Macaca mulatta: one gene and its partner. The protein of the gene in region 2 purifies or fractionates together with the protein of the main gene of each other region. This does not show direct contact. Links are inferred from orthologs where the notes say so. Each region holds a gene or a part of one and is shown on either strand. Other genes may lie near its edges.

Region 1 (3,913 bases), on a different chromosome or scaffold from region 2:
GAAGTGCAAGTGGGGTCTGGGAAAACATTCCAGGTCCAAGCAGCTACTCCCCACGGTTTCCATTAGGCAGACCAAGTGGCTTTTTGAGCACACTTCTTTGCTCCTTTCTTTTGTTTCCCTACTCGTCAGCAGGCACGTGGTTAGAAACAGCCACCCCAGTCTTGACTGCGAGTGATCATCAGTCACGAGCACAACTTCTGACAACAGTCTCTCCAGCTTAGTGCAGAGTCTTAACTGGGGCTAGCCAATCGGCTGCTCTTCAGTAAAGCAGTAGCGCCCTTTGGATTAGTTGTTCACCCACGTTCAATCAGCCGTAGCCTAGAGGGAAGGGGCCATAAGGAGGAAACACAGTTGCTAAGGCGCTGTGAGTCCGTGTGTGAGAGAGACAGAGGGACAAACAGCCCGAGTGAGAACTTGAGATGGGCAAGCACAATAACACGTGCCTTTTAATCATTTCCAGTACGAGTCCTTCAAACACTGTGCTTTGTGTGACTCCCCTGTTATCTCAAATGAGTCTGGTTGTCACTCTCTTGATTTTATTTAGCAGGATAAATTCTCGGGGAGGTCCTGTAGGAGCTCATGGTTGTGCTTTTCCCATTCATGTTTCCACTACCATGTGTGATCTTCGTTTATATAAGCTGCTAGAAACACGGATGTCTTACAATAAGCAGCCTCGGCTTTACCCTTGTGCACTCCAGGCTTCTCAGTCTCGGAAGGGAGTAGAGAAGAGGAGGTTGACTATCATGGATAGGTTCAGGAGTGATTGGTTCTGCCCACTTTGGTGGGGCCTGGACGCATTTTGGTTCACTCTAGTAATTTCTTCCAGGAGCTGCAGTCTTGTGGGCGCAAGACGTGGGCCTGATAACTCCACAGGCAGTAGTGCTGGGGAAGAGCGAGCTCACCAGCCCCGGCTGGAAGACCTTGGGAGAGTAGCAGGGTTGGGTTGTTTCTCAGATTTGCTTTGCCCCAGGCTGTGTGATGGGTGCAGAGCCTGGGTAAATGAAGCTTTCCAGCTCGAGCGCTCCCAACCTGGGCACACACGGCCTCCTGTACTGCAAGTGGCAGTTTTGGGGCATCCCCCCTGCTTGGGGCAACCCAGGGGCGCAGGGCGCGGCCCCGGGAGCGCAGCTCCTTCCAGGGCAGAGGGCGGTGCGAGGGAGGGAGCGAGGGAGGGAGCGAGGGAAGGGAAAGGCGAGCGTGAGCTGCCTCAAATGCTTGGAATAATTCCGCTTCCGTTTGGAAAGCCGCAGCCTCAGCCCGCCGCCGCCGCCGCCCGCCGCGTCCGCCCAGCGCCAGCTCCGCGTCCCGACCGGCCCGCGGCTGCCTGAGCCGCGCCATGGCCACCTCCCCGCAGAAGTCGCCTTCTGTCCCCAAGTCTCCCACTCCTAAGTCGCCTCCGTCCCGCAAGAAAGATGATTCCTTCTTGGGGAAACTCGGAGGGACCCTGGCCCGGAGGAAGAAAGCCAAGGAGGGTGAGTGCGGCCAGGCAGGCCGGGCGGGCGGTAGGAGCTGGGGGGTGCCATAGGGGCCGAGGGGCCGGGGCGCTGGGGCCGTTCGGGAGCGCGCGGCGATGAGTGCACGCGCTTCCCGGGCACGTCGGGCAGGAGCGACTCGCGCGCCACACTGAGCCTGGGGCTCGCGGGCCATCGAGGCCGCCCCTCCCGCTTGCGGCGTTGCCCTCCTGGGCCGGAGACCAGGCCGACGCCCCCGCCGGGCAGTGGGCAGGCGCCGCTTGGCGGCCGGAGGCGGCGGGACCGTAGCCCAGGCGGGGCCCCAGACCGCAGGCAGCGCGATCCGGTAGGCCCTGCCCCGCCCTCTGCGCCCGAAGGCTGGCATTTCCCAAGTTTCCGCCGCAACTTTCCTGGGCGCCGTCACTCTCACTCGTTGACTTCATTGGTCCTTAAAATCAGGTCGTTTCCTGGACCTGCTGACGTCTTGTGGTAGCAGCGTCGTGGCGTTGGCCTCTTCGGATCTTTTGTCCATCCCGAGGGCCGAGAAGGGCCCTGTTAATGGAGTAGGTGGACATCGAGTGTTTGTTGAATGAATGAGCGAAAAACTGGCAAACCTAGCGTGCCCTCGGTGTAATACACGATAAACCCCTACCAAAGGAGAAAACCTGCGTGAGACACAAACATCGTCGTGGGCCTCCCCCCGCCCCACCAGAGTGAATTGAGGCGACCTTATTCTTTTTTTTTTTTTTTTTTTTTTTTTCAGGGTAGTTTGCATGTAGAATATTTTTTGCCCATGGGCAGATTTTGCGTCCTGGTTTTTGGTTTGAAAACTGAGGTGGCAGTTCTCAAGAAGCACTGATGTGTAGATAGAAGATTGGTGTGTAGATAGAAGTTGCTGAGTTAAAATTTTTTGTTTTAAACATTTTTTGAATTGACGCATGATGTACATAGTTTTGGGGCACATGTGATTAATACATTCATATAATTTGTAAAGCTCAAGTTGTTACAGGAAAGGGGTCCCAATCCAGACCCCAAGAGAGGGTTCTTGGATCTCACACAAGAAAGCATTCAGGATGAGTCCACACAGTAAAGTGAAAGCAAGTTTATTAAGAAAGTAGATGAATAAAAGAATGGCTACTCCATAGACAGAGCAGCCTGGGGATGCTGGTTGTCCATTTTTATGGTTATTTCTTGATGGTATGCTAAACAAGGGGTGGATTATTCATGCCTCCTCTTTAGACCATATAGGGTAACGTTGCCATGGCATGTGTAAACTGTCATGGTACTGGTGGGAGTGTATCAATGCAGAAGACCAGTGTCTGCACTGATGGCCATTTTGGTTTTGGGTTTTAGCCGACTTCTTTACTGCAACCTGTTTTATCAGCAAGGTCTTTATGACCTGTGTCTTGTGCCGACATCCTATCTCATCCTGTAAGTTAGAATGCCTTAACCTTCTGGGAGTGCAGTCCAGTGGGTCTCACTCAGCCTTATTTTACCTAGCCCCATTCAAGATGGAGTTGCTCTGGTTCACATGCCTCTGACAAAATCAGTGTACTTGGGATATCCATCACCTTAAATATTTGCCTTTTCTCTATGCTAGACCACTGGAATTCTAGATATTTTGAAATATACAAGAGGTTATTGTAAAATATAGTTACTTTACCAATCTAACACTAGGTCTTCTTCTATCAAATGGTATATTTGTAACCATTAATCAACTTCTCTTGCCCCCTAAAAAATGTTTTTAATAGATTGCCCGTGAATTGGAAATAACCTTTTGAAAGCTGTGATGCTGTGTAAAATGTTTCATGTTTGTAAGTCATCTTAAAGTATAAAAACGTCTTCAGTGTTCAGGATTATCAGACTTGAAGAACTAGACTTCTGTTCTTTAGATTGAAATGAGAAGCAGCAAAAACATACGAAAGTTTCCCCACATTGGTTATTTTGGTAACCCACTGAGTAGTGTACAGTTGGTGGCAAATCATGAAACCCTGGCTTGGGAAGCTTTTTTCTAGACCATGTTTCTAACTTATTCCTTACAGCATTCCTGACATAGTCTCATCCGGTTTAAGATGGGGCAACTGAGAAATATTGAAGCTCATGCAATAAAAAATATCTGCTACCAGGAGAACCATCTTTACCTACTCTGTAGAAAGGTTTATTTTATATTTAGCCCAAAATGTATCTCTCTGTACCTATTACTGTTGGAGCCAGAGAATGAGTCTGGGGTGGCCTTTTATTGATACCTTGCTGAAGTAGGCTATCCTGCTTTCTTGAGTCTTCTCGCCACTGGGCCCAACATCCTCTATTCCTCACAGACATAATTTTAAGGTCTTTTGCATCCTGTCTCTTTAGTTTCAGTCAGGGTCCCTGCAGGAAAAAGGCCAATTTGTTGAGATTTTGAAAATAGTTTAGTGAAGGGGCTATTGACAGAGCTGTGGGCAGGGTTAAGGGAACTAAGA
Region 2 (3,813 bases):
TTATTTTGAGCCTATGTATGTCTCTGCGTGTGAGATGGGTCTCCTGAATACAGCAGACTGATGAGTCTTGACTCTTTCTCCAGTTTGCCAGTCTATGTCTTTTAATTGGAGCATTTAGTCCATTTACATTTAAGGTTAATATTGTTATGTGTGAACTTGATCCTGCCATTATGATATTAACTGGTTATTTTGCTCGTTAGTTGATGCAGTTTCTTCCTAGCCTCGATGGTCTTTACATTTTGGCATGTTTTTGCAATGGCTGGTACCGGTTGTTCCTTTCCATGTTTAGTGCTTCCTTCAGGGTCTCTTGTAAGGCAGGCCTAGTGGTGACAAAATCTCTAAGCATTTGCTTATCTGTAAAGGATTTTATTTCTCCTTCACTTATGAAACTTAGTTTGGCTGGATATGAAATTCTGGGTTTAAAATTCTTTTCTTTAAGAATGTTGAATATTGGCCCCCACTCTCTTCTGGCTTGGAGAGTTTCTGCCGAGAGATCTGCTGTTAGTCTGATGGGCTTCCCTTTGTGGGTAACCCGACCTTTCTCTCTGGCTGCCCTTAAGATTTTTTCCTTCATTTCAACTTTGGTGAATCTGGCAATTATGTGTCTTGGAGTTGCTCTTCTCGAGGAGTATCTTTGTGGCGTTCTCTGTATTTCCTGGATTTGAATGTTGGCCTGCCCTACTAGGTTGGGGAAGTTCTCCTGGATGATATCCTGAAGAGTGTTTTCCAACTTGGTTCCATTTTCCCCCTCACTTTCAGGCACCCCAATCAGACGTAGATTTGGTCTTTTTACATAATCCCATACTTGTTGCAGGTTTTGTTCATTTCTTTTTCTTCTTTTTTCTTTTGGTTTCTCTTCTCGCTTCATTTCATTCATTTGATCCTCAATTGCAGATACTCTTTCTTCCAGTTGATCGAGTCGGTTACTGAAGCTTGTGCATTTGTCACGTATTTCTCGTGTCATGGTTTTCATCTCTTTCATTTCGTTTATGACCTTCTCTGCATTAATTACTCTAGCCATCAATTCTTCCACTTTTTTTTCAAGATTTTTAGTTTCTTTGCGCTGGGTACATAATTCCTCCTTTAGCTCTGAGAAATTTGATGGACTGAAGCCTTCTTCTCTCATCTCGTCAAAGTCATTCTCCGTCCAGCTTTGATCCGTTGCTGGCGATGAGCTGCGCTCCTTTGCCGGGGGAGATGCGCTCTTATTTTTTGAATTTCCAGCTTTTCTGCCCTGCTTTTTCCCCATCTTTGTGGTTTTATCTGCCTCTGGTCTTTGATGATGGTGATGTACTGATGGGGTTTTGGTGTAGGTGTCCTTCCTGTTTGATAGTTTTCCTTCTAACAGTCAGGACCCTCAGCTGTAGGTCTGTTGGAGATTGCTTGAGGTCCACTCCAGATCCTGTTTGCCTCAGTTGAAAATGCAGAAATCACCGGTCTTCTGTGTCGCTTGTGCTGGGAGTTGGAGACTGGAGCTGTTCCTATTCGGCCATCTTGCTCCGCCCCCAAGTTTCCATTTCTTTACCTACAAAGTAATATTAGTATCTGACCTTACGGATTGCTGGAGAATGAAATGAGGAATGATTTTAAAAGGTCATTAGTCTTTAACACTGCCATGTTAATGAGATTCATTTAGGGCTGATTGCGAGATGTGCTTATGCTCTTATACTTGAGTGACAACAATTTGACTTGGGTAACATTCCTGTCTTTCTCCATTTATACGCTGTCTTGATTGATGAAAAAAGTGGTGTTGATCAGATTGGGTCCAGATCAGCCAGGACAAGGCGTGATGCATACTGACATTGTCAAGATAGAATTTCAAGTGGTTTTCATATTATCACTTGTCTTAATCTTGAACAGGTCATTTTTGTCTCTGCAGCAAATATCTCCTTCCCTCCGCTCTGCTTCCCTTTTCCATCTGTCTTCTTTCTTCCTTCCTTTGTTCTTAATTTCTTGGGCCAAGGTACTGTCATGACTGTGTACCTGTGATGACTCAGGTTAAGAAATTTAAAAGACATCAAATGATCCGGGAGGTACTTAGGGTTTGATTTAGGGTACTTAGGCTGTGTTTACTGAGAAGGACTTCTTAGACCTGCTCCGTATTGGATGAAGTGACCTTCACTTTTTTTTTTTTTTTCCTCCAGGAAACTTGGATTTAACTGGTCAGAAGCAGGTATTCAAAGCAGAGAACAATCCCTGGGTGACCCCCATTGCAGACCAGTTCCAGCTTGGTGTGTCCCATGTGTTTGAGTATATCCGTTCTGAGACATACAAATAGTAAGTAGACTCTGATTTTCTGAAATAGTAGACTGTGATTTTATAGTATTTATAATTATGTCTTTAAAAATATTATGTGACAGTATCCTATTGGTGGCAGTTAACACTTAGCATTTTAAAATGTTCTATTAAAAGCTGCATGTTGGCCAGGTGTGGTATGGCTCACACCTGTAATCCTAGCATTTGGGGAAGTCGAGACTGAAGGATTGCTTGAGCCCAGGAGTTTGAGACCAGCCTGGGCAACATAGCAAGACCCCATCTCTACAAAAGAAAAAGAAATTATCCAGGCATGATAGTGCATGCTTGTCATTGTAGCTATTCTGGAGGATCACTTGAGCTCAGGAGATTTGAGGCTGCACTGAGCCGTGGTCATGCCCTGCACTCGAGCCTGGGTGAGAGAGCAAGACCCTTTCTCAAAAGAAAAAAACAAAAACAAGAAAAACAGCATGTGGTCATTGTCTCTACTTGTAAATTGTTTTTTATTGACATTTTCAAGGGAATTTTTACCGATTTTCTTTAGAGAATTTTTGAGATATTAAATTAGTTGAATGTTCATGGCACTAAGGAAATTCACCATTCAGATGAGAACATATTTTTTTCTTCTGTGAATGCAAAGAATTACAAGTGTTCTGAACAAAATTGTTAAGCAGTTTATTTATAAAATCAGTAGAGAGTACTAGCAATGCGTCATTCTATTACAGAGAAGCTTTTACTCTAGTGAGAGGATAATCTCTTAGAGAAAAGGAAAAGGCAGGAGAGGAAGCGGAATCTGCCGGCTTAAAGTCACAGCACCAAAATACCTCAAGTCCTCACTCCAGGTGAAAGGAGTCTGTGCAAAACTGTCCCAAAAACCTCACCATTCCTGTTTCTTTATTCCTCCATGTGTCAAGGCTGAAAGGAATTCTGCCACTTCCACGTGCTTCTGTTGTTATATCTACCATCATTATTTTCCTACCTTACCCCAATCCCCAGCTGCAAAACAAACTGTCATTTATCACAATGTTTACCTGACCCCAAATGCTGAGATCTAGTATAATTTTAAGCATCTACAAAAAAGACAAAAACATCCACAGTTAAATGTAATCTGTTTTTGTGTCTGGCGTCAACTTTTAAAATTTATTTTTAATTAATTTATTTATTTCTTTAAGAGACAGAGTCCCACTGTATTGCTAGACTGGAATGCAGTGGCACAGTCACAGCTCACTGCAGCCTCAAGCACCTGGGCTCAGGCAATCCTTCCACCTCAGCCTTTCAAGTAGCTGGGACTACAGGCACTTACCACCATGCCCAGCTAATTTTTTATTTTTTGCAGAGACGGAGCCTCCCTATGTTGCCCAGGCTGGTCTCAAACTCCTGGTATCAAGCAGTCCTACTGCTTTGGTCTTCCAAAGTGCTGGGATTACAGTCATGAGCCACCATGTCCAGCCTGGCACCAACCTTTGGGAATGTGCCAACTATTGGAAGAAAGATAGAAGATTGCTAAAGGTCACATTTAGTTAAGAGTTTTGTTTCTTTCTTTTTTATTTTCCTTGGTGT

Evidence for each region.
Region 1: the proteins of RSU1 (region 2) and PARVA purify together in Homo sapiens (affinity purification with mass spectrometry; 3 studies listed by BioGRID and IntAct, counting the BioPlex papers as one, with this or other methods). This does not show direct contact. The link is inferred for Macaca mulatta from reciprocal best matches to the Homo sapiens genes RSU1 and PARVA.

What each region holds. Positions count from the first base shown.
Region 1 is NC_133419.1:53,087,925-53,091,837, reverse strand, and holds the start of PARVA (alpha-parvin), read left to right. Parts: upstream 1-1,278; 5' UTR 1,279-1,336; coding exon 1,337-1,472; intron 1,473-1,546; exon of another isoform or gene 1,547-1,797; intron 1,798-3,913. UniProt on the Homo sapiens protein: Plays a role in sarcomere organization and in smooth muscle cell contraction. Required for normal development of the embryonic cardiovascular system, and for normal septation of the heart outflow tract.
Region 2 is NC_133414.1:18,236,617-18,240,429, reverse strand, and holds part of RSU1 (ras suppressor protein 1), read left to right. Parts: intron 1-2,144; coding exon 2,145-2,277; intron 2,278-3,813. UniProt on the Homo sapiens protein: Potentially plays a role in the Ras signal transduction pathway. Capable of suppressing v-Ras transformation in vitro.